Mus musculus: one gene and its partners. The protein of the gene in region 7 purifies or fractionates together with the protein of the main gene of each other region. This does not show direct contact. Links are inferred from orthologs where the notes say so. Each region holds a gene or a part of one and is shown on either strand. Other genes may lie near its edges. The genes, in order: Prkaa1, Nudcd3, Ikbkg, Araf, Cdk4, Ptges3 and Fkbp5.

The links.
Region 1: the proteins of Fkbp5 (region 7) and Prkaa1 purify together in Homo sapiens (affinity purification with mass spectrometry; 3 studies listed by BioGRID and IntAct, with this or other methods). This does not show direct contact. The link is inferred for Mus musculus from reciprocal best matches to the Homo sapiens genes FKBP5 and PRKAA1.
Region 2: the proteins of Fkbp5 (region 7) and Nudcd3 purify together in Homo sapiens (affinity purification with mass spectrometry; 3 studies listed by BioGRID and IntAct, with this or other methods). This does not show direct contact. The link is inferred for Mus musculus from reciprocal best matches to the Homo sapiens genes FKBP5 and NUDCD3.
Region 3: the proteins of Fkbp5 (region 7) and Ikbkg purify together in Homo sapiens (affinity purification with mass spectrometry; 3 studies listed by BioGRID and IntAct, with this or other methods). This does not show direct contact. The link is inferred for Mus musculus from reciprocal best matches to the Homo sapiens genes FKBP5 and IKBKG.
Region 4: the proteins of Fkbp5 (region 7) and Araf purify together in Homo sapiens (affinity purification with mass spectrometry; 4 studies listed by BioGRID and IntAct, with this or other methods). This does not show direct contact. The link is inferred for Mus musculus from reciprocal best matches to the Homo sapiens genes FKBP5 and ARAF.
Region 5: the proteins of Fkbp5 (region 7) and Cdk4 purify together in Homo sapiens (affinity purification with mass spectrometry; 3 studies listed by BioGRID and IntAct, counting the BioPlex papers as one, with this or other methods). This does not show direct contact. The link is inferred for Mus musculus from reciprocal best matches to the Homo sapiens genes FKBP5 and CDK4.
Region 6: the proteins of Fkbp5 (region 7) and Ptges3 purify together in Homo sapiens (affinity purification with mass spectrometry; 4 studies listed by BioGRID and IntAct, with this or other methods). This does not show direct contact. The link is inferred for Mus musculus from reciprocal best matches to the Homo sapiens genes FKBP5 and PTGES3.

What each region holds. Positions count from the first base shown.
Region 1 is NC_000081.6:5,178,361-5,181,860, forward strand, and holds part of Prkaa1 (5'-AMP-activated protein kinase catalytic subunit alpha-1), read left to right. Parts: intron 1-327; coding exon 328-572; 3' UTR 573-3,500. UniProt on the Homo sapiens protein: Catalytic subunit of AMP-activated protein kinase (AMPK), an energy sensor protein kinase that plays a key role in regulating cellular energy metabolism.
Region 2 is NC_000077.6:6,197,652-6,201,902, reverse strand, and holds the start of Nudcd3 (nudC domain-containing protein 3), read left to right. Parts: upstream 1-1,451; 5' UTR 1,452-1,768; coding exon 1,769-1,960; intron 1,961-4,251.
Region 3 is NC_000086.7:74,428,458-74,432,480, reverse strand, and holds the start of Ikbkg (NF-kappa-B essential modulator), read right to left. Parts: upstream 2,801-4,023; 5' UTR 2,660-2,800; exon of another isoform or gene 815-2,659; intron 1-814. UniProt on the Homo sapiens protein: Regulatory subunit of the IKK core complex which phosphorylates inhibitors of NF-kappa-B thus leading to the dissociation of the inhibitor/NF-kappa-B complex and ultimately the degradation of the inhibitor.
Region 4 is NC_000086.7:20,855,043-20,858,542, reverse strand, and holds part of Araf (serine/threonine-protein kinase A-Raf), read right to left. Parts: intron 932-3,500; coding exon 755-931; intron 666-754; coding exon 619-665; intron 150-618; coding exon 31-149; intron 1-30. UniProt on the Homo sapiens protein: Involved in the transduction of mitogenic signals from the cell membrane to the nucleus. May also regulate the TOR signaling cascade. Phosphorylates PFKFB2.
Region 5 is NC_000076.6:127,062,038-127,066,334, reverse strand, and holds the start of Cdk4 (cyclin-dependent kinase 4), read right to left. Parts: upstream 2,801-4,297; 5' UTR 2,576-2,800; intron 2,116-2,575; 5' UTR 2,100-2,115; coding exon 1,882-2,099; intron 1,751-1,881; coding exon 1,615-1,750; intron 1,501-1,614; coding exon 1,333-1,500; intron 1,181-1,332; coding exon 1,071-1,180; intron 383-1,070; coding exon 332-382; intron 235-331; coding exon 99-234; intron 1-98.
Region 6 is NC_000076.6:128,068,982-128,072,481, reverse strand, and holds part of Ptges3 (prostaglandin E synthase 3), read right to left. Parts: intron 3,267-3,500; coding exon 3,197-3,266; intron 2,349-3,196; coding exon 2,250-2,348; intron 415-2,249; coding exon 325-414; intron 1-324. UniProt on the Homo sapiens protein: Cytosolic prostaglandin synthase that catalyzes the oxidoreduction of prostaglandin endoperoxide H2 (PGH2) to prostaglandin E2 (PGE2).
Region 7 is NC_000083.6:28,427,150-28,430,649, forward strand, and holds part of Fkbp5 (peptidyl-prolyl cis-trans isomerase FKBP5), read right to left. Parts: intron 2,215-3,500; coding exon 2,072-2,214; intron 1,318-2,071; coding exon 1,203-1,317; intron 1-1,202. UniProt on the Homo sapiens protein: Immunophilin protein with PPIase and co-chaperone activities. Component of unligated steroid receptors heterocomplexes through interaction with heat-shock protein 90 (HSP90).

The DNA of each region.
Region 1 (3,500 bases), on a different chromosome or scaffold from region 7:
TGTGCTTGCCACTACCCAGTGAGTCTGTGGTTTTAATAAATATCTCCTAGCAGTGATATTAATTTACAGGTTATTAGTTTACTGTTTCTTAGTTGGTGTGAAAGTCAAGAGTGCTATACTATGTATCCCATGTTGACTGGCCATTGTATGTATTTTTTGTGCTGTGTGTAGAAGTGGTAAGGTGCTTTACAAAGGCACGCTTGCTCTATTTGAGAATGTAAATAAAACCAGTGTGCTTTGGAGAACTGGTTAGTAGTCTCACTTAGGTGCTGCTTAAACACTTGAGGGAGAAATAGATAATAAAACATTGAAATTCTTTCCACCCAGATGAGATTACAGAAGCCAAATCAGGGACTGCTACTCCACAGAGATCGGGATCCATCAGCAACTATCGATCTTGCCAAAGGAGTGACTCTGATGCCGAAGCTCAAGGAAAGCCCTCAGACGTCTCCCTTACCTCATCTGTCACCTCCCTCGACTCCTCCCCTGTCGACGTAGCTCCAAGACCAGGAAGTCATACAATAGAATTTTTTGAAATGTGTGCAAATCTAATTAAAATTCTTGCACAGTAAACCTAAAATTTTGCTTATTTCTTTGATGCAATAAGCATGCATAATAAATAATAGCCAAATACTTCCACTTACCAAGTTATATATATGTGTGTATATAACTGAGGATTGGCCTTTTGGAATGCAGTTTGCACAGGGACTGGAAAACGATTGATCGTTAAAAGCCTGATGTGCAGAATTGAATGAGGATCACTCTGTTATCCCGTATTCAGTAGGTACACACAGCGTAACACACACACAATGGACTGTAGGTCTCAAGCTTACTTGACTTTTGGCCATTTGAATTTGCTGTAACAGGTCTCAGTCGACCATAAATTTACCATAAAGCCTTCACATATTAGTACATGTTGATGTATTTTATATTAGCTTCATGAATTTATTGAGTTGCCTGGAATCCTCATAGACCTTATTAGATAATGCTGTTTTCTGGGCTCCTTAACTTCCAAAATAGCTACTAGTTTCCATTTTTGGTTACATTGTGAACTATTTCCATATTCCTCTTAACATGCTATTTTTGTGTAGTAAGTCATTTCAGAGAGCAGTCTGGATTTAACATTTTTCTTTGGCTTGTGAGCCCCCAAAGCCCCAGAATTTATATGTTCAGACCCTCCAAGCCCTGAATTTACTTTTTCAGGTTTGCCCTTTTATATATGAAGTGCTGCTTTGGATCCAAGAGCCGAGTTGCTCACACTGTAGTGAATCGTGTTGCTTCTGTCAGTGCACAGAGACGCTATCATGTCAGCCAGTGTTGAATGTCTTTGGTATTTTCTAAGCCAATCCAGTGCATAGAAAGGACAGTGTTTATACGCTCTGAATGCTAGGATTGGGGTTTTAGCCCCTGATTTTATTCTGGACAATTTTTAAAGAAAGAAAAGTTGCAAGAATTTAGTGACTGCATGTGTATTTACTACTTAGCTCCTACAACTACTGTTTGGCCATATTTGCTCTCTAGATCCACACATGTATAATATACAGATATGCACATATATTCGAGTATATGTTTGCTTTTATTCTGAACCACTGAGATGTTAAGGTATATATATATATATATATATACCAGCCCTGAATACTTCAGCACTTCCTAAAAATAATAATAATGTCCTTTAGAAACCTTCTGAAACCATTATAAAATCAATAATTTCCAGATAGTGCCTGGTTTTCCAGATTAGCTGTAACTGCCCAGAATTCCATTTAAGTTACAGCCTGATTTTATTTGCAGTTCTTTAATCAGGTTAATAACACTATTTTGAAAAGATGTAGAAGAAATCCTTTCTTCAAACTGGCCAAGTTTATTTCAGGTTTTAATTCAAAATAATGAGTGGCTAAAGAAGTGTGATTTTTCTTCAATCTCTGATTTATATGCCTCTCTCCTTTTAGTGGTAGCATAGCATAATGGGTGTAAGTGAAGATTTAAGTCACGCTAGACAAAGCCGGTATTGTGTGAGCTAATAATTAATGTCATATTGGCCATATTTGGTTTCCTTTAAGTTTAGGAAATTGGTCAGAGGCTCTAGCCCAGTGGTGAGGCTGGGTCATCTCCAGCAACGTGAAACAAAATGCATTTTCTTTAAACATTAACCATCCCCCCTTTGTAAGAGAGACTTTTCCCCCCACTGCATTCATTTAAAAATATTTTGCCCCATCCCCAAACCTGTCCAGCACTTATGTAAGAACGCATTTGGAGGACATGATAGCTTGCATAAAAGATGACGCTATAGTTTATGCACTGATTTCCGGACAAAAATGATGCTTCTTTTTGTTCGGGGCTTGTTTTATTCAACTCCGAATTGAATGCTGTATAAAGTAATGGAGACTCCATTTACCTGAGTTCCTGACTGTATTTATACCTGTGTGTTTGTGCCCTCTGTGTGGGGCTCCCTGATGTCACGTATGCTGTCTGAATGCAGCGCTGTATTCCCGCTGTGTAGAACAGAAGGCTGCATTTGTAAAGTTATAGATTTGTAAATAAAACTGAGGAATATCTCTATAAACTGTTGGGGGGACGGGGCACAAAAGGAGGAGCCAACTAAATAGGACCTTCTAAAATTTGTTAATTTTGTAATCTTTGCTTCTTTTATAAGTTATTCTGTGATTCCTTTTAGTTACCGAGTTTTATTTTGAAGACATTAAAATATTGCACTTGTATAAATAGTATGATAAATGCAGACTATTGCAGTCAAATTTTTTAAAAGCTAGGATATCTGAAATGACAACTTTCAGTTAAGTATGTCAAGCCCAGGACAGGATTTTCACAAATGTATTGTAGTTTGCAAATTCTTACACTGAAAATGTAAAGGGAGTCAATGCAAATGATTTTTAATCTTTTTTTTATTATCTTTTCAGCAATTTATATTTTCTTGTGATTTTATGCAACCATATTTTTACTTTGTCTTGACAACTGAAAGCTGTGTGATGTTTTTGACAGAAAAGTACTGTATACATAGTTTTAAATATAACAGATTTTGCTGATATGTAAAAATTTTGCCATTAAAGTTGATTTCTCATGAAAGGAACTTTTCTACCAAGTCGGGAGACGCAAGAGCTTAATATATCTAATTTAAAATAATTTCACTGAAATAAACACCATTGCTTTTACTTTGATTCTATTTTTTTCTTAAGATGCTTTTATAGTGTTTGGGAGTTTTAGATAATTTTATATGAATTCTCTCCCTACCTTGCCCCATCCTTTGGATCTTTGATACCATTCACAAATAAACTCATGTGGCTGGGTGTGTAAAGATATGTACCCCAAGGGGCATCTTGGGAAAGAAAACCATAAATTCTTCTCCTTAACTCCTCCCTCTGCCTGTTCATTGTGGGCTCTGACATGATGAATGGAATGCCACACACAGCCTGACTGTAAGCCGTTGTTGGGAGGAGTCCACCATTGTGGCTTATGTATGTTTGCCCAGAGTAACCTGATTTAGAAAG
Region 2 (4,251 bases), on a different chromosome or scaffold from region 7:
AGACCCTGAGTTTGTCTCCTAGAACTACAAGAAAACAAAAGTAAAATCAGTATTTTGCTCTGTGTGGTGGCATATATCTTTACTTCTGCACTTGGCAGGCAGAAACAGGCATATTTCTGTGAATTTGAGGACAGTTTGGTCTATACAGCGAGTTCCAGGGCAGCCAAGGCTGCAGAGTAAGACAATGTCTTTTAAAAAAGTTAATTTGTAGATGTTAGTTAGTCTAGTAGAGATGAAATTCATTAAAATCTTTTTTGTTGTTGTTGTTGTTTTTTTTCCGGTCAGGATCTCCTTGCAGAGCCCAAGTTGGTCTTGAACTGGCTATGTGGATGAATAAACATTTCTGGTTCTGTCGCCACCTTCCCAGTGCTAGGTTTACAGGTATGGGTTACTACACAGTTTATACAACATTCAGGACACATTAGTCACACATGTGGGTTACTACACAGTTTATACAACACTCAGGACACATTAGTCACACACTTTACCAATTTAGCTACATTGAATGAAAAAAAAACAAAAAGGAGGACATGATGGCTTCTAGGTATGGTGGAGGAGGTTTATTGTAGACAGGAGGGAGCAGACAGCCAGAAGCAGAGGCATCTGGGAGAATTCAGGGTGGAAGTGGCTGTAGAATGAGCTGGGCCATGTGAGAAGGGTTAGGGGAGAGGGTAGAAGAGACCTGGAGTCAAGAGGCCAGGAGACCAAGAGGCCAAAGGGTAAAAAGGACCTCATAACCAAAATGGCTGGGTTACATAGGAATCAGAGAAGCTTGGGGAGGAAAAGGCCAGCTCAGACTCTGGACTGGAGAAGTTTAGGGTAGAGGTCAGGATTAGTATGCCAGCCAGAAGGATCCTGTACCAGAAGGTACTGAGGGAGACTGGTGGCCAGAGTCTGCTTTGATATTTTATTAGGCATCTCAGCCATTTGTCTTCGGTTTGTGACCTAGCATATGTTCCTAATCTGTCTGTCTTTCGTCTCCCCCCAACCCTCTTCTGAGACTGGGTTTGACTCTATAGCCCAGGTTGGCCATGATTTGGATGCGGGGATTACAGGTATAAACCACAGATTGATTGTGTGTCAACCTTACATAAACGTTTTCTTAAAATGTCTATATGCACGTATTAGTAACGGCACGTGTATACACACATGCTATACATACGGATGCACACACACATATTTACAGTATCATACTTCTTTTTTTCCTTCACTGAGCTTTTCACACTTTTCTTGTCCTTTCAAGTCACCTTGAAATCTGGTGCAACCTTCTGAGTTTCACTCATAGCTCTGTTAATAGGAATTCCATACAATTCTACAATATTCCTTTTCCGTTCCCTCCGCTAACAAACAAAATGTGGTATTATAAGAAGGCGCACCAGACACCTACGCAGGAATTCAATCCAGAAAGAAGAAAGGCTCCCAGACCACGTGACACCTCCAGGGACTACGTCAAGTGGCCGTCACCACAATGCTTCCGCCCTCTTCAAACATGGTTGGCAAGCGCTCTCCGCATCGTGACCATGGTTATTCTTGCATGTAGGAACCGTACTGAGCGCATACCAATCTCCTTTAGGCAAGTGTCGCGGCGGAGGAGATCCAGCAGAGCCGCAAGAACGACGATCGGTTACCGCCGGTAGTAACAAGCGCGGACCGGAAGTTCCGCGTCTTCGCTGTCCGGGGGGAGCCGTTAGGCGCGCACGCCGGAAGTGGCCAATCAGCCGGTGTGAGGCGGTGCCCACTGTGTTCGCGTCCCTCGGGCAGCAGAGCCATGGAGCCCGGGGCTGCTGAGCTTTATGACCAGGCCCTGTTGGGCATCCTGCAGCACGTGGGCAATGTCCAGGACTTTCTGCGCGTGCTCTTCGGCTTTCTCTACCGCAAGACCGACTTCTACCGCCTGCTGCGCCACCCTTCGGACCGCATGGGCTTCCCGCCCGGGGCCGCACAGGCCCTGGTGCTGCAGGTGAGGTGGAGAGAGGCGGCGGGCCGTTGGGGTCCAGCAGGTCCTTACCCCAGTTCCACCTCCCAGCGCCAGAGGTGCCCCGGCTCGCGTCCTACGTCTGGGAACTGCGCCACTCCGTAGCCCACCCTTCAGGGTTTGTGATTCTCTCTGGGGTGCCACCAGGTGATTTGAGTAAATGGCCAGGCGTTATCTGACCCACGGATCCGTTGGCAGGAATGCGCTTCTTTGGGTACAGGCTGGGTTTGTGCGGGAGATGCTTAGGTGTTGGACCTGTCAGCCTGGGTTTGAGGGCCTCCCAGCGCCCTGTGGGCATCCCCAGAACGGTGCAAGGGGCTTGTTAGGCAGGGTTCAAACCGTGCAGGCTGTAGGAGGAGGACTTTCACAGCGGGAGAAACTAGTAGATTTCAGAATTCCCGGGCTCGGAGGTGGCAGGAATGACTGGTATGTATTGATTGGTGGGTGTGGCCTCTTGCCAGTGACTTACTAAGTTGGTGGACAATTGTAATGTTTACGAAATTTACATTTGGATTAAAATTTATATGTCCTAGGTTATATTTATTGTTTTTGAAGCGTTACTAATGACTGACTCAAGTTGTTTGGACACCTTTTTAAAAACTGTTTTCTTTCGAGACAAGATCTTGCTGTGTAGCCCTGGTTGACTTGGAACTTGCCAGGTAGATCAGGATGGCTTCGAACTTATGGTCCTCCTTCCCGACGCTCCCGCGCTGGGATTGTTGACATTGTTGAGTTAGTAATAAGCAAACATTTAATGAATATATTTAACACTCTCAGCTGCGGTATAGACTCTGATGGTATGGATATTTAAATAATGGTCTGTCTACTTTTGACACTGTACAGAGAGTAAAGCACAGACACTAATAGAGAGCTCTGCTAGTTCTCTGTGTGGTAGAGCTCTTTGGAAGGAAGTGATAGAAGTGGTAGTTAGGAAATTGAGACAGTTTTGTAGGAGACGTTGAAGTAGGTTTTGAGGGGCGTGTAGAGTCTGATTCACAAACCTATAAAGTGCTTCATGTCACCTTTGCTGTTTGTTGACCCCTGCATCAGCCCCAGACAGGGCTTTCCTGTGTAGCTCTGAAGTCCTGGAACTCACTCTGGCATCAACCTCAGATATCTGCCTAGGATTAAAGACTCGAATTGCCACCACCTGGCTTACCTTCCATCTTAATCTGTTCTGTGGGCTTGTCAGGGGTTACTTTCTTCAGTTCCTCTCAGTGGAAGAAGCCAAAGCTTAGAATGTTCTAGTAACTCTTAACATAATGACCATGAGGTGATCAGTGGGAAGGTTTGCTACTGAGTTTCAGTTTCAGAATGGAAACCGATGAGTCCCTGGGGTAGCTCATCCTTATCAGTGGCCCAAGTGCTGCTGGTTGAGTAATTGGAGAGGGTGAGAGGTGGCACCTTGTGTTTCTTTATAATGAAGTCTTGCCACCTGATCGCCATGCTCTCTGAATCTGACGTAGTAGTTCAACAAGGTTAGATGACAACAAGAACTTCACTCTGTTTCCTGCAACTCAGGACTTCAGTTTTCTAATTCCAAATCTTTTTGCCCTTTTTGTCATTTAGCCACTCCATAGTATGGTGAGAACTTTTGTTTTGGTTATGAAAGGAGGAAAGAGTATCCCAGTGGCTGGCTGGCATTTGAATTTCTTCTGTATAACATCTTATTTTAGCTTTAACACAATTTGAGAGGTTGGTTCTTGTTTGTCTGATGAACTGATAAAGGCAAGATAGATGCACTTATCGTACAACTTTATAAAACAGCTACCTCTGAAAGGTTAAGATAGCTCTATAGGTTACAGTGTGGTGCCCATGCTATGGGAGGTAGGGAGCCGAGGAAGGGACAGGGTCAACCAAATATTTCAAGGTTCCAAATCTGGGTAACTGGAAGAGTGAGGTCATTAACTGTATTGTCACTTGGATTTGGGGGGTGGGAAAGTTTTAGATAAGTTGAATTTGAGATCGCAGACAGGTTCTGGCTTCAGAGCTGTTGGAATGGTAGGACTGGATCTTGCAGGAGATGGAAGGACTGTGAAGTCTGAAGAAGAGCCCAGTGTAGAGGACAGCTGGGGAACGGTCACCGTAAGGGGCATTGGGTTCTACCGCAGCCAAGGTTACAGTCCCAAGTACAGGTTTAAGAGTTGTTTGTTCTTACCCTTTCTCCAACCCCAGGTGGTTCTCAACCATCAGCCTTGACCGAGAGCCCTTTTATCTTCTCAGTTTCTTTCTTTTGTGGGGTGGGAGGTTGAAGACAAGGTTTCTCTGTGTAGCTT
Region 3 (4,023 bases), on a different chromosome or scaffold from region 7:
GGTCTTTACAGATGTAGTTAAACTAAGGATTTCAAGCCAGGCATAGTGGTGCATGTCTTTAATCCCAGCACTTAGAAGGCACAATCTCTGCGAATTCAAGGCCAGCTTGCTCTACATAGTAAGAACCTGTCTCACAAAAATCAAGGCTCTCAAATTGAGATCACTGCAAGTTATATAGGTGGGCCATGAGCCCAGTAACAAGTACCTTATTACTCAACTAGATTGATATAACCACAGGCCAAGAAACAACTGAGCTACCCACAACTATAAGACACATGAAGGATACTCTTGTACAGCTTGCAGATGAAGCATAACCTTGTTCACCTTCTGGTTTTATTCTCCTGGCCTCCAGACCTGTGAGATATCAATTTTCTGTTCTTTTAAGCCACTTGGCCTGTGGTCACTTCTTACAGGAGTCAAGAAAACACAAACACATGATAAAAGAGACTTCAGGAGACCACATTGTACCTGAAAAGTGTTCACTGGGGATAGAGACCTCTTGTGACTTCTTTGCTCTAAGAAGTGTGAAAGTGTGAACTGGGGTGTCCGAGACACATGACCCCTGATCTGCTTATGCTGGCTTTTAAACCAGAGAATATGCAGGACAATACTAACCTGGAGACCTTGTAAATCCTGCCTCATACTGACAACCAGGAAGAGAATGATCTCAATGCAAGTTTCCAGAAGTGGGCTTTCAATAAGGGAGACCTCCTGTAACACTGGGGAATATTGGCTATTTATACTAAAGGTGTTGCTACCCATAGGTCCATCTGCCTGAGCCCACACAACTGACCCTCCCCACTTTTTCACCTACTTTCTTCCTTCAGGTTCCAGAAAAGCCTTCTCTGCTGGTGACTCACTCCCTCAAAGGCTGATGCTGCTCAGGCCCTTTTCCTGAGTCCCCACTTCTTCACGTTGAGGAACTTTGGGACTTCTTTCTTAACTGCATTCACCCCTGCAGTAATTCCATCCGGTCTCATGGCTTTTAACCCAAATCTTAATGTTGATAATATCCCAAACAGTTCTCATTCCTAAATTCCAGATATTTATAAAACTACTTGGATGTCTAGAAGTCTTAAAAGAAGTTGGAGAGATGTCTCAGCTATTAGGAGCACTCAGTGCTCTTCCAGAGAGCCCAAGTTCAGTTCCCAGCACCCATGTTGGGCAACTCACAACCTTTTGTAACTCCAGCTCCAGGGGATTAGAAACTCAAAGGGAAGGGATCTAGAAGAGACTGTTTAAAAAAATATTGAAGTATGGGCAAGGGAGACAGCTCAGTGGATAAAGGCCCTTGCTATGCAAGCCTGGAGACATGAGAACATATAAAGGTGGAAAGAAGATAGCTGACTCAATGTTGTCCTCTGAGCTCTACACATTCTAGCCATGGCACCTGTGCTCCCTGTACAAATCATACATCATGCATGCATGTGGGGGGCACACACACAAATAGTAATTTTTGTAGCATGCCAATTATGTCTCAAGAAAGCTGTTATTGAAAATCGCAATGGGTGGAGCAAGAGAGATAATGGTTCAGGGATTAAGAGCACTTGTTGTTGCAGATGTGGCTCACAAACATCTGTAACTCCAATCCAAGGGGATCTGAAACCTTCTTCTGACTCCCTTGGGCACTAGGAAAGCATAGCAAAGCACCTATACACATAAAATAACATCTTCTGTAGAAAAGAAAATAATCATGGTAAAGGATTGTAATGGGGTGTGGATTAAAGTTAACTATGAGCTGATAGTCACAGCTAAGAAATGTGTACATGGAATTTACTATATTATTATTTCTACTTTTGTACATTTTAAATTTTTTCAGTAATTCAAGGCTGACAGCGCTATCATCTTTCACCTGCATTACTGCAATAATCTCTTTACGGGTCACCATGCTTTGCCTTTTCAATGGCCCTTTGCAGTTAATTGGCCCCACTGGGGCCAATTACCTCAAAAATAACTCAAACTACTTCTCTTCTCTACCATGAACTCTTTCAGAGTTTCCATTTCTCCTAGTGTTAAAAAGCAAAGTCCATACAACAGCCTACAAGATCCTATACCACCTATACTCCCTTCCTTCCTCTCCACCAACTATTCTCCCTTGCCCTCTCTGGTCCTTCCTTTTTCCTAGGAAATGCCAAGACAACACATTCCTTCTCAGGTCAGATAAATGTTATGAGGACAGGCAAACAGATTACTATGAATCATTTGCAAAGTAAACTGAGGTGCAGAAGGTAAGACCTTTAGTTGTGAAGGTACACGTGAAAACTTTTTAAAGACTTCAAATGCACTCAAGTTTGATAAACAGCCTAGCCTGATGGCGAACACCTGTTGCTCTAGCACTCGAAAGGCTGAGGCAGAACTTTGAGTTCGAGGTCTACCTGGCCTACAGTGCAAAACGTGTTTCAGAAACAGTTTGATCAACAGAAAATGTCTGCTACCTAAAGAGTTCTAGCACTAGGGGCCAAGCCCTTAGGCGACAGCTGCAGTGAAGGGAAGGGCAGATTCAATCCGACTAGCCTAAATAATCTGGGTAGCGAATAATTAGAAGCTTGCGGCAGAACAAACTGGGCCTAAGGTGGGGGGAAGGGTGTGGACCTCTGGAGTCTCGGAAGCTACGAAACAGCCACCGATGGAGCCCTGTCTTTGGAGAAGAGGACCACACCTGTCAGCAGAGTCGGCCAGAAGTGAAGAGGGCAGGAGCAGAGGGATCCGACCGCTCCGACAGAACCGGAGCTCCTAGAAAGTCCTAGTCAGGCGGTCACCCTTCCCTTCTCTGCAGTGGAAAACTCCACTTCCGGCTTCCGGTGTCGTAAGTGCGGGATCCGGAAGTAAAACACAGACTCAAAGGCTTGGAGATTAACCAGTGAATCAAAACCCCAAAGTGCCATACTCTGTTCCAAAGAAAAGTCTTAGATCGCCAGCCTGCGTCGGCCAGCAGAACACCAGAGCTCTCCTCACTGATAAACATCACACACTTATACACACACTTTTTTTTTGAGACAGGGTCCCATAAGACCAGGGTCTCGAACTCAGAGATCTACCTGCCTCTTTTTTCCCGTCTGCTAGGATTAAAGTAGTGCGTCACCACGCCCACACTCGCCCCTACCCCATTTTCAAGGCACCGCATCCGCACTAAAACACCCAAGTTTCAGTCTGGTCCTGCTACTGGGCTCTCTGCCGCTGGGCCCCCACCAAGGAAAAAGCCTAGAGGAAGCTGCGAAAGTCCAGCTCCGAAGCCAAACTAGCAGCTAGGGAAGGCGTGGCTATGCTGCTAACGGAAGTGGGGTCATCCGGGAAGGTGCAGGGCCTCGAAGGTCCAGCGGAAAGCTAGGCCATACATAATGGCTGGGTGACACAGGAGACGGGGACCCAGGAGAACTGTGTGGAGCTGCACTTATGACAAGACTTTGCGATCTCGAAATTGTAGGGGCAGCGGCATCGGGGAAGGCCAAAGGGCGGGGCTGGCCAGGGATGCGCGCGCATCTCCTCCTGCAATGATAGACTAGCCCGAAGCTCCTCCCCTCCTGCCTCTCCTGAGGCGGGTCAGCTCAGTCAAAGCACACGCCCTCTTGCGTTAAATGGGCCAGCGAAGCTTAGCCCCCGGAAACTGGCTGTGCGCTACAGATCTGTGAACGTGTTTGGCAGCGGCAACTAAACTCAGGTAAAGGGGTGGTCTGATGGCATGTCGGTGGAGGGACATGCTTCACGCTTGTACGCCGCGAGTCCCTTTGATGCGCGCTAATCTACAAGTTTTTAACCCATCCCTTTGTATCCCGCACTTTCCCCGCATTGGGCCCATGAGGACTAGACCTTTAGAAGAGAAGGGACTTTCGGGGATCACCCAACTGGGCCAGAAGAGAGCCGGAGCTGAACTCCATCATCTGCACAATCAAACGTGCTCAGTTCATTGTGGAGTTTCTGGCAGACACCCGAGTACGATACGATGGTCCCATATACAGAGTGTGATGCCGTAACCAGATTTTATCTAGCTGCCCACAGTGGATGTCCTAGGTGAATTATATTAAA
Region 4 (3,500 bases), on a different chromosome or scaffold from region 7:
TTGCTCCCCATCTAGCCTGGCCCAACTTACCATCCATAGCACAGACCCTGAGGGCTGCTCTAAGGGCTGTGCCCCACTCCACCGTGTCTTCACTGTGGCCAGGCCGAAGTCACCAATCTTGACTGTGAGCCCCTCATGTAAGAAGATATCCAGCAGGGTCAAGGGCCATTACAAGGAATCCCAATAGCTATGCCTCATACCCTTACTGGATGGTTCTCAGAACCCCTGTTCTAGTGAGTTATGTCTCTTGCCAGAAGCCACCCCCATTTCATACTATCTACGACTGATAGGACCCCACTTGGTTCCATTGTGACCCAAAACCAACAAGTCTCCTGGATGACACCTAAAGCTATCATGCCTGGGACACTGTAATGTCATCTACAACTACTACATCTCACCTGAGCAGAGTACCCAACAGTACGTGAACCATCTGACTCCTAAACAAAGGTCCTTCATTTAAAAGGCCCTTTACCAGGTATAGCTCTGTTACCTGGCAAGAAACCACAGGATATAGGCCCTTCCCTCTTCACCTCCAGAATCTTACCCCCCAAATCATCCCTTTAAACTACCACTCTGATTACTACCCACCCCCAGTCCCAGCCAGGGACAGGTAGATACTGTTGGACTTTAGGTCTCGATGAATGATGTTCTTGGCGTGGAGGTAGCTGTGGAGATGGAAGTGGGTAGTGAATTGTCTGGAGACTATTTCAGCTATCCCTCCCACCTCCCCAAGTCTCTAAGATGTGAGGCTCACTCCATGCCCTGGGCAGTCTGCCGGGCCACATCAATGAGCTGGACCATGTCAAAGCGCGTGTCAGCCACATGTAGGTGGTGGTAGAGGCTGGAACCCTCACACCACTGTGTGATGATGGCAAACCCCGGCCGAGTCATGAAACCCATGAACAGCAAAATGTTGACATGCCGTGTCTTCCTGTAGGCAGGGAGGGTAGGTTGGGGGAAGGGGTCAAGAAATAGAACAAGTGTCATGTGTTTACTCAGCAATAGGAAAAGCGATCTTACCTTGTCTTCAAGGGTGCTCAGGGCCAAATGTTGTCAGATCGCAATCTGTGAGACTTGATGGGCTTCTGGGAGCTGAGTAGAGGTTGATGTTCTGACCGTCCTCAACAAAATTCTATTTTATTTTATTATTTTTTTATGGCTTTGGAACAGGGTCTTATGTTGTATACCAAGCTGGCCTGGAGCTAAGTAGCCTGGGCAGGCCGCAAGCTCTCAGTGATCCTTCTGACCCAACCTCGCAAGCTCTGGGATCATGGGCATTAGCCACCATACCTAGCAGTGGCTATGTTACAGATGACAAAGTAGGAAGCCAACCTTCTTTATCAATACTGAGAGAGAGAGGCTCAAGACATAGAGACATGTGTGACATGGGAGGATGACAGTTTACTAATCACTGAGAGGCTTAGAGGCAAAGAATCTAGAGTCCGAAACCATGTTACAACCCAAACCTTTACCAGTCACTCATTGTACAACCTTGAAGAGGACTTCTAACCACTTTGGTCCTCTTGTTCCCAAACCATACAACTGCTATCATTACAGCAGCGGCTTTCTGAGGATGTCACAAAGGGTGAACAAATGGTCTGAGCGGTCCTTAAAACAGCTGGACAAACAGTAAACATTCTGAAACTTCCAGTTTGTTTCTGGGTACCTGAGTCTACTTCATGGAAACTGTCACATGCAAACCTCTTTAATATAGTTTATGAGAAAACCACATTCTTAAGTATTAACCACTGTTTGAGTACGCAAATGCAAACAACAGGGATAATATTTAGATCACAGAAGACAACAGAGCACCAGGACATTCCCTTCTTGTTTTGATACTTGAGCTGGAACATAACCTTTCATATGCTAAGCACATGCTCTACCACTGAGGATACATACTTACACACAAGGACTAGGGGGTTTTTTGGGGTTTGGTTTTTGTTGTTGTTGTTTCGAGACAGGGTTTCTCTGTGTAGTCCTGGCTGTCCTGGAACTCACTCTGTAGACCAGGCTGGCCTCAAACTCAGAAATCCGCCTGCCTCTGCCTCCCGAGTACTGGGATTAAAGGTGTGCACCACCAACGCCCAGCTCTAGTTTTGGTTTTTGAAACAGGGTTTAATGTATCGCAGGCTGGCTTCAAATTCCTGATCCTCAGCCTACCAAGTGCTAAGAGTATAGACATGTGTACTACCACAAAAAAAATTTTTTTTTGAGACTAGGTTTCATCACATACTCCAGATTTTTTGAACAATCTATGTATTTCTGTGTGTGAAAGTATACATGTATGTGTTAGTACGTGTGTATGAAGACTTAAGTGGAGGCCAGAGGTCAACCTAGGATGTTGTTTTCAGGACCTACTCGAGTTGTTCATGCATTATTTTATAAACTGGTTTTGAGGCAGGAGATTTTTCACTGGGACCTGGGACATGCCAATTAGTCTAGACTGATGAACCTCTGGAATCTTCCTATCTGTGTTTCTCCAGTGCTGAGCTTGTAAGCCTGTGCTGCCACACCCAGCCTTTTACATGGGTGCTAGAGATCAAACATAGGTCTTCTTGCTTACATGATAAGCACTTTACTACATTATCACACCAGTTCTGGTCTCAAACTGTTGTTCCTTCTGCCTCAGCCTCCCAAGTACTAAGATTACAGGCATGCACCATCATTCTCAACACAGGGATTTCTCCCAAGTACTAAGATTACAGGCATGCACCAACATTCTCAACACAGGGATTTGTGTGTGTGTGTGCGTGTGCGTGTGTATAAGAGAGAAACAGAGACAGACAAAGACAGAGGCAATATACAGGTATGCGTGTACATGTACATCTGTGCACACAAACGGAGACCAGAGGTCAATGTCAGGTGTATTCTTCAATCACTCTCCACATTGTTTTGTATGTGGCACACATACATGACTGTGCATGTGCATGGGTGGAGAAGCCAGAGGTTGATGTTGGATTATCTATCTCCCTTGATTGTGTTCCACCTCTTTGGGTTTTTTTTTTTTTTTTTTTTTTTTTTTTTTTTTTTTTGGTTTTTCGAGACAGGGTTTCTCTGTGTAGCCCTGGCTATCCTGGAACTCACTTTGTAGACCAGGCTGGCCTCGAACTCAGAAATCCGCCTGTCTCTGCCTCCCAAGTGCTGGGATTAAAGGTGTGCACCACCACGCCCGGCTCCACCTCATTTTTGGAGACCGAATCTCTAACTAAACCTAGACCTCACCAACTGCCTAGACTGGCTAAGCACCAGTAATCCACTCTTGTCTCTGCTTTCCCAGTGCTAGGATTACAGGTGTGCACCACTGCACCCAGCTTTTTACTTTTTATGTGGGTGATGGGAATCTAAACTCAATCACAAACATATTAAGCACTTTACTGATGGAGCTATCTTCCCAGCAAATATGAAGATTCCTTTGTCTGTGATCATCTGTGTATATAGAGCATGTGTGCCACAGTGTACATGTGGAGAACAGAGGACAACTTTCAGGAGCCAGTTCTTTT
Region 5 (4,297 bases), on a different chromosome or scaffold from region 7:
AGGTCCTCACACTTATGCAAAGGAACTCTACCCACTGAGCCAGTTCCCCAGGCCACGGTATTTCTTATCTTAACCCAATCCCCGCCCAGGTCCAGTACCAGTAGCAGCTGCGCTCCAGACTCCTCCATCTCTGGCACCACTGACTGCACTGGCCGAGGCCCTCTGGGGGCAAAGGCTCCTCGAGGTAGAGATACCTCTCGAGGCCAGTCGTCTTCTGGAGGCAATCCAATGAGACTGTGGGGACAGGACAACTCTGTTAGGAGGGGCCTTTCCCAGCTCCTGTCTCCGCGGCAGCAGGAAATGTCTTTCCTTTTCCTTATCAAATACTTACTCAAAGATTTTCCCCAACTGGTCGGCTTCAGAGTTTCCACAGAAGAGAGGCCTAAGGCAGAAAAAGACTCAAAGTATGTGTTATATCAAAAATAGGGGAGTGGGGGCTGGAGAGACGGCTCAGCAGATAAGACTGCTCTTCCGGAGGTCCTGAGTTCAATTCCCAGCAACCACACGGTGGTTCACAACCATCTGTAATGTAATCTGAAGTCCTTTTCTGGTGTGTCTGAAGACAGTGAGTGTACTCACATACATGGAAATAAATACATTTTTAAAAGAAAAAAAAAATTGAGGAGTAACCGTTATGTAGACCCAACTAGAGAGTGTGGAGACGAGGAACGGGAAGATCCTAAATCCAGGGCATGCCTATATGGTTTCTTGGTTCTAGGCAAGGTGGTCAGTATGAACTGGGTAGGCTGGATGTCCCGTACCATACATGCACAAAAGCGAATGGTCAAGAACAGGCATGTCTGTAAAAGACTTGGGGGCCGACGGAGTGTGAAGTTCAGTGGCACGGAAGCATTTACTGAGTGTGTGTGAGTTCTGATTTCAACCTCTAGCACAGTAAGACAAGCAGCCAAAGCTATGTGCAACTGAAGGTAGGTTAAGAGCTTCAAGTCCCATACGGGCGGTGGTAACGCATGCCTTTAATCCCAGGGCTCTGTGAGTTCAAGGCCAACCTGATCTACGGCCAGGACTAACCCTGTACCATTAACAACAAAAAGTTTCTAGTCCCATACTTCCGACGGAACATCTCTGCAAAGATACAGCCAACGCTCCACATGTCCACGGGTGTTGCGTATGTAGACTGCAGAAGAACTTCAGGAGCTCGGTACCAGAGCGTAACCACCTGAAGAGAATAGTAGAAATGAGTGAGTGTCGACCTCACGAACCAGACCTGCCTGGCTCTGAAAACTTCATGTACAAGACTCCTCAGTTGCTATGGGAAACCACCAAGAGCTACCCCTATCACAACCTAGTCGGCTAACGCCTTTTACTGACCACAGGCGTGAGGGCCATCTGGTAGCTGTAGATTCTAGCTAGGCCAAAGTCAGCCAGCTTGACGGTCCCATTACTTGTCACTAGAATGTTCTCTGGCTTCAGGTCCCGGTGAACAATGCAGTTTGCATGAAGAAAATCCAGGCCGCTTAGAAACTGACGCATTAGATCCTGTTTTTCAAGAAGAAAGCACAGAACACCGGAAACTATGTATCACTTCAAAATCCCAACAACTTCTATTGCAAAGATCGGTCCACCCTCGCCCCCAGCCCCACCCCTACTCACCTTAATGGTCTCAACCGGCAGGCCCGGTGGAGGTGCTTTGTCCAGGTATGTCCTCAGGTCCTGGTCTATATGCTCAAACACTAGGGTGACCTTGATGTCCCGATCAGTTCGGGAAGTAGCACAGACATCCATCAGCCTGAGAAGAACAAATGATCACCAGCTAGTCGTCCCCTTTGTCTCAACGTGGCCTCTGGCGTTCTAGGGTCCCACTCCTGCCTTACGGGTCCTATTGTCCTCTCCGCCCCACTCCCAATCCAACCTTCTCACCGTACAACATTGGGATGTTCAAAGGCCTCCAGCCTCCTTAACAAGGCCACCTCACGAACTGTGCTGACGGGAAGGCCCCCTCCAGCTGCTCCTCCATTAGGAACTCTCACACTCTTGAGGGCCACAAAGTGGCCACTGTGGGGATCTCGGGCTTTGTACACCGTCCCATAGGCACCGACACCAATTTCAGCCACGGGTTCATATCGAGTGGCAGCCATTCTCGAAGCAGGGGATCTACAATCACAGAGGCTTCTAATACCAAACTCACTCTCACGGTTAGGAGGGGGATGACCCGGCGGTAACAAAGGAACTCCTGCACAAGACCTCGCCAACGCGATCAGCAACATCCCACCCCTCCACACTTCCAGGGCCCGCGCCTTAGGTAACACAAAGACTCCCATCAAACCCTCCTCCTCCGGCCACGTTTTGTCCCGGAGGAAGAAAAAGAATGCTTTCTTTCCTTTCGGAGGACATCGCACTAGGCACAAAGAGGATCACACAGTGCACAGGGTTTGCACCGAAGATTCTGCACTTCACTCTCCAAAATCACACCCTTGCCCGCGACCACAAAGGCCCCACTTCCCGCCATTGGGCCACCTTCCATAATCAGCCAGCGACGCGCACGCGTGGGGAGCTGGAGGGTGCTGGTGGTGGCGGGGACTGGTCCCCCGATCCTGGATGAGACTGCACTCACCTTACGCTCGGCTAAGAGCTCTGGAGGTGGCCCTTTATCTGGGCCCGGGAGCCGGTTCCTGCGGCGCCATACACCGGGGATCGGTCCCGGGCAGCTGGACGCTTCGGGCCAGACCATAGACACAGGCCGCGAGCTAGAGAGGCCCCCTCACCCCCACCCTCACCATGTGACCAGCTGCCAGAGAGGCGCGCGGAAACCCGGGGGGCGGGGCGGGCGCCGGACGTTCTGGACACGTGATCTTCACCCTTGCGCAGTGGGCAACCCGGGCTGCTTTGATGGGAGGGGTGTGGTGGGGAAGGGGGCGGGGCCCTGACGGCCACGTGACCTGTTGCTATCCCACGTGACCCCTTGACTTTGCGCTGGGAAGCAGAGGTGTGGTTACGCTGTGTGGCACGTGACTGGCTGCCATACCCTGACTGCCGAGGGGGTGTGTGGGGGCGAGAGAGGGTGGAGCACAAGGCGGTGTCATGGCAACCGGGCCAACCAGCTCTCAACTCTGGGCTCAAGGCCGAGCCAGAGCGCATCTTCAGTCTCACTATGGGTCTCTGAGTGGGCGGGAGGTCGAGGTGTTAGTGGGAGATCCTGGTGCCAGAAATGGTGCTGTAACATTTCCACTCCACCGCCATGGGGAAACATTCGTATTTGTGTCTTTCTTTTACTCATTCATTCAACACAATTTTACTAAGTGCTTCCTTCCAGTTGGTATGCGATGTTTTTGTTTTGGTGTCTCAGTCACTCGCCCTTTGAAGTGATGATAAAGATAACTAGTATAGGTAATTGTGGTCTTATAAAACAGGGAATAAATAATTTCTATCTGAGGAGGAAACTAGGATTAAAAGATGGACAGAAGGAAATATAATAAGCCACTGTATGGGTATGGGGGGGCAGCAATTTAATGCCCTCCCTCTTCCCAACCTGTAAACCTCCCCAGGAATATTAAAAGCAGCAAGAAGTGATTGAAAATAGGGGTTCTTGATTTTACAAGAGTCTTTACACTAAGATTGCTACATATATATGTGATTGCATAAACAGATGACAGGGTAAGCATGTCCAGGGTCAGTCACCACCACATTGCTGGAAGATGACGTGTCCTTTTGCAAACCTGCAACTCCTCGTTGGGGTCATGTTCCTATTTTTTCCCCAGTCCAGCTTAGAACATATTCTTGATCTGATCAGCGTTTCCTAAATGGTCTGCCTACAGAAATCTAGTTAGACAGAGGTAGATCTGTGTGACGATTTCGTCTGCTCCAACTCCTTTATTGTCTCCCACCTCTTAGGGATATGGGATGAAGGACCATGTTCCCATTTGTGAAAAATTGCCTAAAATCTAGAGCTATTTTAAATTGATTTGGGGTGGGGGTGCTGGGGATTGGAGTTAGTGTTTTTTTGTTTGTTTGTTTGGTTGGTTTTTTGGATTTTCGAGACAGGGTTTCTCTGTGTAGCCCTGGCTGTCCTGGAACTCACTCTGTAGACTAGGCTGGCCTCGAACTTGGAAATCTGCCTGCCTCTGCCTCCTGAGTGCTGGGATTAAAGGCGTGTGCCACCACACCCGGCTTGGAGTTAGTGTTTTTATATGCAGTAAGCATGGGTTCAGTCACTGAGCTATATTCCTGAACCCTAAATTCTAAAATCATATTTGAGACACTAGAGTTGAGGCTGGTCTCAAATTAATTGCAATTTTTGTGCTAAAGCCCCTAAATGCTGTTTTTATAGGCATGAGCA
Region 6 (3,500 bases), on a different chromosome or scaffold from region 7:
GTCCTGACTACATGGGTTTCTGTCCAGAAAACCAAAAAGGGTGACCAAGGAGTGGTTGAGAGCACCTGTTACTCTTTCAGAAGGCTGGGGTTTGATTTCTAACAACCACATAGTGGCTCGGAACCCTCTGTAACTCCATTACCAGGGACCCTGACACCACCTTCAGACTCTGCCTTGGAACCATGTCCCAAGTGGTGCACAGACACATATATGCAGGCAAAAACTATCCATACACATTAAAATGGAAAAAGAAAAAAGGGATTAAAAGGATTATATAGAATATATTATGGGAACAGGGTAGAAAATGCAATTAAAAAAACTTACCTCAGAGAAACGGTCAAAATTCGACATGTCTTCATCTGAGTCATCCTCCCAGTCTTTCCAATTATTGAAGTCCACACTGAGCCAATTAAGCTAGAGATCAACAATATCACCTCCATGTTATTCATAACCAGTAATGAGACATAAAATCAGCTCAAAAAGAAAAATCCACAAGAAACCAAGAGGGGTAATAAGTCAAGGAATCATTTTTCTTCCCCCCGAGACAGGGTTTCTCTGTGTAGCCCTGGCTGTCCTGGAACTCACTTTGTAGACCAGGCTGGCCTGGAACTCAGAAATCTGCCTGCCTCTGCCTCCCTAGTGCTGGGATTAAAGGCCTGCGCCACCACAGACTGGCTCCAGGAATCATTTTTGACTGTCCAATTTAACCTTTCATACAAAAACATTTATTGGGAAGTATTGCATGATACCTGGAATTAATCCAATTTACAAAGGCTAACATTCAACTATTAATCCGTCTTTAGAGATGGATTATAGGTCATGCTGTTAGGTTGTTTCCAACCTACAGCTTTGTGCATATTAGGTATTCTGTCAACTGAGATACCCCAGTGCCACTGTTTACAGTCTACGCAGTACCTCACTATGAAGGTACTTGGCTGGCCTCAAATTCAAAGAAATATCCTGTTTCTAACATACTCTCCCCTTGTACCATCTTGTGATCAGAACTCAGGCCTTCAGGTTTGGCAGTTAATCACCTTCACCCTGCCAGCCTATCCTCAGTTCCTTGAATCTTGAATGTCACTAAACTTTGCTCCCCTACAGTAACCAAGTAACTTATCAGTATGCTGGCTAATTTGTCACCTCAACACTGGTTACAGTCCTCTGAGAGGAGGGAACCCAACTGAGAAAAATGCCATCGTAAGATCCAGATGTAAGGCATTTACTTAATTAGTGATTGAAGGGCCGAGCTCACTTGGGGTGGGGGTCATCCCTGTGCTGGCAGTCCTGGGTTCTATAAGAAACAGAGGCTGGACAAGCCATGAGAAGCAAGCAGCACCCTCCATGGACTAGCAGCTCCTGCCTCCAAGTTCTTGCTCTGCTATGATGGACTAAGAATATGAAGTATAAGCAATATAAATAAACTCTTTCCTCCCCAAATTGTTTCAAATGGTGTTTCGTCACATCAATAGTAACTAAGAAACCCAGGCAAGCTAGTCTTGATGTCACAACCTTTCTGCCTTAGCCTCAAGTGTGCCACCACACCTGATGCAAAAGTTTGTCTCTCCAATGCAAAAGATCCTAATCAACTACGGTCTGATTTTATGACATTTGATGAGAATGCCAAGTATAGAACACCAGCTTTTTTACAATTATAAAAATGTATTGCCGGGAGTGGTGGCACACGCCTTTAATCCCAGCACTCAGGAGGCAGAGGCAGGTGGATTTCTGAGTTTACAAAGTGAGTTCCAGGACAGCCAGGGCTATACAGTGAAACCCTGTCTAGAAAAGCCAAAAAAAAAAAAGTATTTTTAGGCTTAAAAAGATTCTGCCTACAGGCCAGAAGAGGGCACTAGATCTCATTATAGATGGTTGTGAGCCACCATGTGGTTGCTGAGAATTGAACACAGGACCTTCCAAAGAGCAGACAGTGAGTGCTCTTAACCTCTTAGCCAGCTCTTTGCCCTATTTTTATTTTATTTTTTTAAAGTACAGAATAGAGCTTATTCAGGACATAGGGAGGGGAGTTAAGAGAATAGCAGAAGCAGAGAAAAGCAGAGGAGAAAGTGGAGAAGTAGAGGCCAACCATGACCACTTGGAGAGGGGAGGGGGCAAGACGGAATGGGGAGAAAGGGAGAGCAAAGGGGCAAGAGGCAAGCGAAAGAAGCAGGAGTAAAAGACACCTATTTTTAATTCTTAAAACATTAAAACAATCAAACAGAAACCAAAACAAAACAAAAAACCCAACCTACCTTTGCCCTTTCCTTTGTTAACCTAGGCCATGACTGGCCGGATTCTCCTTTTCGCAAACAACATAAAATCGATCTGTCTGTTCTTTTATGCTTGGAATCCTACAACAAAAGCATCATATCACTCATCTCTCTGCTATGATAAAAACAGCCCTCCCACCATACTGCTAAGGGATAATATTTAGGACCTTGAAACATGCTAGGAAAGTTCTCTGTAACAGAGCTGGACCTTCATAATTTGGTTGTTACTGTGCAGCCCAGTCTTGAACCCAAGATCCTCCACAATTAGCCCCCTGAGTGTTTGAGGGATCCTCTACACAAAGTTTTGTCTCTTTCCTCTGAGGTGGTTTTCCTACATAGGCAAAGCTTTTCTGAGTTGCTACTACTTCCTAAACTTTCAGCTTATAGCCACAAGCCTGATTCATTTTTTAAAATTTCTTTCCAAACAAGCTTTTTGGCTACTCAAAATTTCTGATAGAAGATAGAAAGATTTCAAAGGTACTGTCATTTTGCCAGTGACAGAATAAAAAATATGTAGGAAGAGAGGTTGCTGAGTGTCTAAACTGTTAGGCTAAGCAGATTTAAGATTTAATGTTTATTATTGTGGTAGTTTAAATGAAAGTGGCCTCACAGGCTCATAGGGACTGGCATTGTTGAGAAGGGTGGCACTATTGGGGGGAGTGTGCCTCTTCAGGTGGGCTTTGATGTCTCTTCCTGCCTCTCCAGGTGTAGAACCCTTAGTTACTTCTCTGGCACAATTATCTGCCTACATGCCATCATGCTTCCCTCTGTGACAACAATGGACTGAATCCTTGAGCTGGAAACCAGCCCGTTTCCCTTTATAAAAACTGCCATGTCATGGTTTCCTCACAGCAACAAACCCTAAGATAACAGCAGCACGCCCAGCTTCTCATCATTTAAATCAGAAAAAAAGCATCAATGGTACTTACATTTGGATCGATACAATGAAAAAGATCAATTTCATTTAAATGCTTAAAATTATCGCTTCCTCCAAGACAACTAAAAAAAAAAAAAAAAGTGAGACAGAGAAAGAGATTAGAAAGCCAGTTACATACAGTAAGCTTTGGGTAACACAGATGTAGAAAGGTGGCTGGCTAGTTCATGTCAATTCTACACAATCCTAGAGACAGGAGCCTCAAAGGAGAAAATGCTTCTATAAGATCAGACTGTAAGAAGGCCTATACTATAGTACATTTCTTAGTGATTGATAGGAAAGGGCCCAGCCCATTGTGG
Region 7 (3,500 bases):
CGTTTCTGAAGCACTCAGCACTCACAACAAAGAATAACTTGACAAAAGAGAAGCATGGGAGGCTCTACCCTAGCCCTCAGTCACCAGTGCCAAGTCACCACATGCCTCTTGACAGGGATGGTGATGATGGTGGTGATGATGATAATGATGAGCTAAAGAGGGCATAGCGCCACGCACAGGGCATTTTCTAATAGCTCAATCTAGTCCCTGTGGGCATAAGACAACAACTATGGGATTCTCTAGCAAATGGAAAGTTGTCTTCAAAAATGTCAAAGTTGCTGGGCGATGGTGGCACACGCCTTTAATCCCAGCACTCGGGAGGCAGAGGCAGCAGATTTCTGAGTTTGAGGCCAGCCTGGTCTACAGGACAGCCAGGGCTACACAGAGAAACCCTGTCTCGAAAAACAAACAAACAAACAAACAAAAACAAAAAAGTGTCAAAGTCACAGGAAACAAAGATGGAAGACTAATTCATTGGAATAGAATAAAGCCATGAGGGCTAAATGCAGCTCCAGGTTTTGAATTTGTATCCAGACTAGAAAAGAAGTTAGTATGGTAACGAGAGTGGGACAGGGGATGGCCCTATTAACTTCCTGGTCTCAACAAATGCCCTGTCTCAAAAACTAAATCAAAACAAAACAAGTTGTTATGAATCACTGACTCTGGAGGAGTTCCCACAGCACAGGAAAAACCCTGGTGTATAGATTTGAATTTTTCATAATAAACGATGAAAACATGTTATGAGTAAGCTTTTAAGTGGCTGTGTCACAGCTGTCTCTAGCCTTTTCGACTTTCATAAGCACGACTCCCAATGTGGGTTTTTGGGGCTCGCAGAGCCTTTGAGACCAAGAAGCCCAGCACAGCCTCAGTCTTGGAAGAAGTGAGGGCGCAGGAGAGGCCCAGAGGTGCAGAGCCAGCCTTAGATCCCAATTTCCTGTTCCTGGTTGAGAGCTTCTTTGTTTAGAACCAATCCTGAATGACATGTTACCTATAACACTGCAAGAAGAAAATAACTAAACCCAAACTAGACTTGTGTAATAAAATATTGGTCTAAATATTATATACATGCTAAAATCAAGAAAATCATTCTAGTTGTTTTAGATAGATTTTCTTCTTCTTATAGACAGTTTAATGACTTTTTCTCTTAGAAGCATGTCTCCTTCCTCAGGGAAGGCTGGCTCCCGGCAGTACTCACTACTCACCTTTTACCGTTGCTCCTTCGTTTGGGTTTGAGTATCCCTCGCCTTTCCGTTTGATTCTACGGATAACGCCTGAATCTTCAAATAAATCCTCACCTTTGAAATCAAGGAGCTCAATCTAGAATGCAAAGATGAAAGCCAGTTTAACAGTTATTTTTATAAAACTTTAAGCTACATCTTTATCTATACAGCTTAGATAAGAGTAACGTGGGACATGAGAGCGATGTACTCTGCAGTTCTTGGAAGGAACTCCGTGTAATGACACCGTCTAGGACTGCATCCTGTGGGACTGCCGTGCAAAGACAGACAGGAAATAGTAGGACAACTGCCTTGTGGGCAAAAGGCCAGGAGGACAAGGTGCTGGCGCAAAACAGTCTTGGCTGACTCTGAGGACAACCGCTTCCCACCCCAGACTTGTGACCTTGCCACCTTAAGATTTAAGAAACTGGCCTTCAACTGACTTGAGAAGTGCTTTCACCGTGTTAGATAAAGATCCAGTTTGGCCAATTATGTGTAATTAATTCAGCGCAGTAAACAATGGACCACGACTCACAGCTCCTGATGGATATGAGGAGACAGTCGGAAACCTTCACAACTTTACACTCCCCACCACCATTTCCAGCCTGTCAGGATGCATATGACTTACTTCCTCTACTGACCAGAACTTTTACTTCCACATCTGTGACTTTTGTTTGTTTGGATATGCCCACTTTGTGCCAGACACATTTCTAAGAAAGCACTGGCACACCCCCTGGATGTGTGGGAAACAATTCAAGAAGCCAAGCTCCAAAATAAATAAGCTGGAGCAGGCTGCCAGCGGCCAGCGCAGCTCCGTGTCATGGCCGCACATGCACAGCACTACACATACTTGCCTCAAAAAAGAGAGTTGCATTTGATGGAATTTTTTGGAGGTGGCCAGCCGAGCCATAAGCATATTCTGGTTTACATAATAAATGGCAGATCTCGCCTTTCTTCATAGTAGACACCCCAATGTCCCAGGCTTTGATAACCTGGCCTAAGAGAAAACAAGAAAACAAAAACAAAAACCAAATCTGTCAAAGAAAATCTTCAAACAAACCCCAGATCTGCCAAATCATAAGAACTGTAACATTTGGGAAGTTTCCTTTCTTGCCAACTTGAGAAACTCAGCTTTACTGCTCTCTTATGGACCTGTAGCAGGCAACCTGTTCAGTGTCAATATTTACAAGTCTTTGTTCTGAAAGTTTAAGACAGCCTCATAATGCAGCACAAGGTGGCCTAGAACTCTGAATTCTGGCAGATGGTGTCTGGGTCTAGGACTCCTGGATGACAGACAGGTGTGTGCACCATGCTTGAGTAATACTCTTATCATGTGCAGCATGAACTATGTCTCATTTAGGGGCTGGAGACATGGCTCAGCGGTGGAGAGCACTGGCCACTCTTCCCAAGGACCCAGGTTCAGTTCCCAGCAACCACCTGGCAGTTCACAGCTGTCTGTAACTTCAGTTCTAGGGGACTGATCCCAGCACTTGGGAGGCAGAGGTGGGTAGATCAAGGCCAGCCTGGTCCATACAGAGTGCCAAGACAGCCAGGACTACATAGTGAGACCCTGTCTTGAAAAACCTAAACAAAACAATACAAACCAACACCTCAATATATGGCAGCATATTATCATTCAATTCTGAACTCCTTTTTATTTAATAGCTTCACTTTCTTTCTTGATTACTAAAGGGAGGATTATGCACTGTAGGGGTTCAAAGTACCAGATTCCAACCTTAGGTTTGCTTTGCAAACCTGTGCAAGTTTAATCTGTTTCCTGACCCAGACAACATAATAACAGCCCCCACCCCAAATGCATGGCACAGTATATACACACAAAGAGTCTGGTATTTAGTAAAGAATAAATTATTTAGTAAAATAAAGAAAAGCTGCTGCCCTCACATTCACCACCACATATAACTCCCTCTCTTTTGGCCTTTTGAGATAAGGTCTTATTACACAGTCCAGCTAGTCTCAACTCGTAATCTTCTACCTCATCTTAAGAAATGAGCCGGGGCTGTGAGATGGCTCAGTGGGTAAGAGCACTGACTGTTCTTCTAAAGGTCATGAGTTCAAATCCCAGCAACCACATGGTGGCTCACAACCACCCGTAATGAGATCTGATGCCCTCTTCTAGTACATCTGGGGACAGACTTATTTATAATAATAAATAAATCTTTTAAAAAAAAATGAGCCAGCGCTCCTCTGTCTCACTCCTGTGTGATTAATGTATGACCTGTGTATGACGTGTGCCTGTGCCCTGGTGCACATGTGGAGGTCACC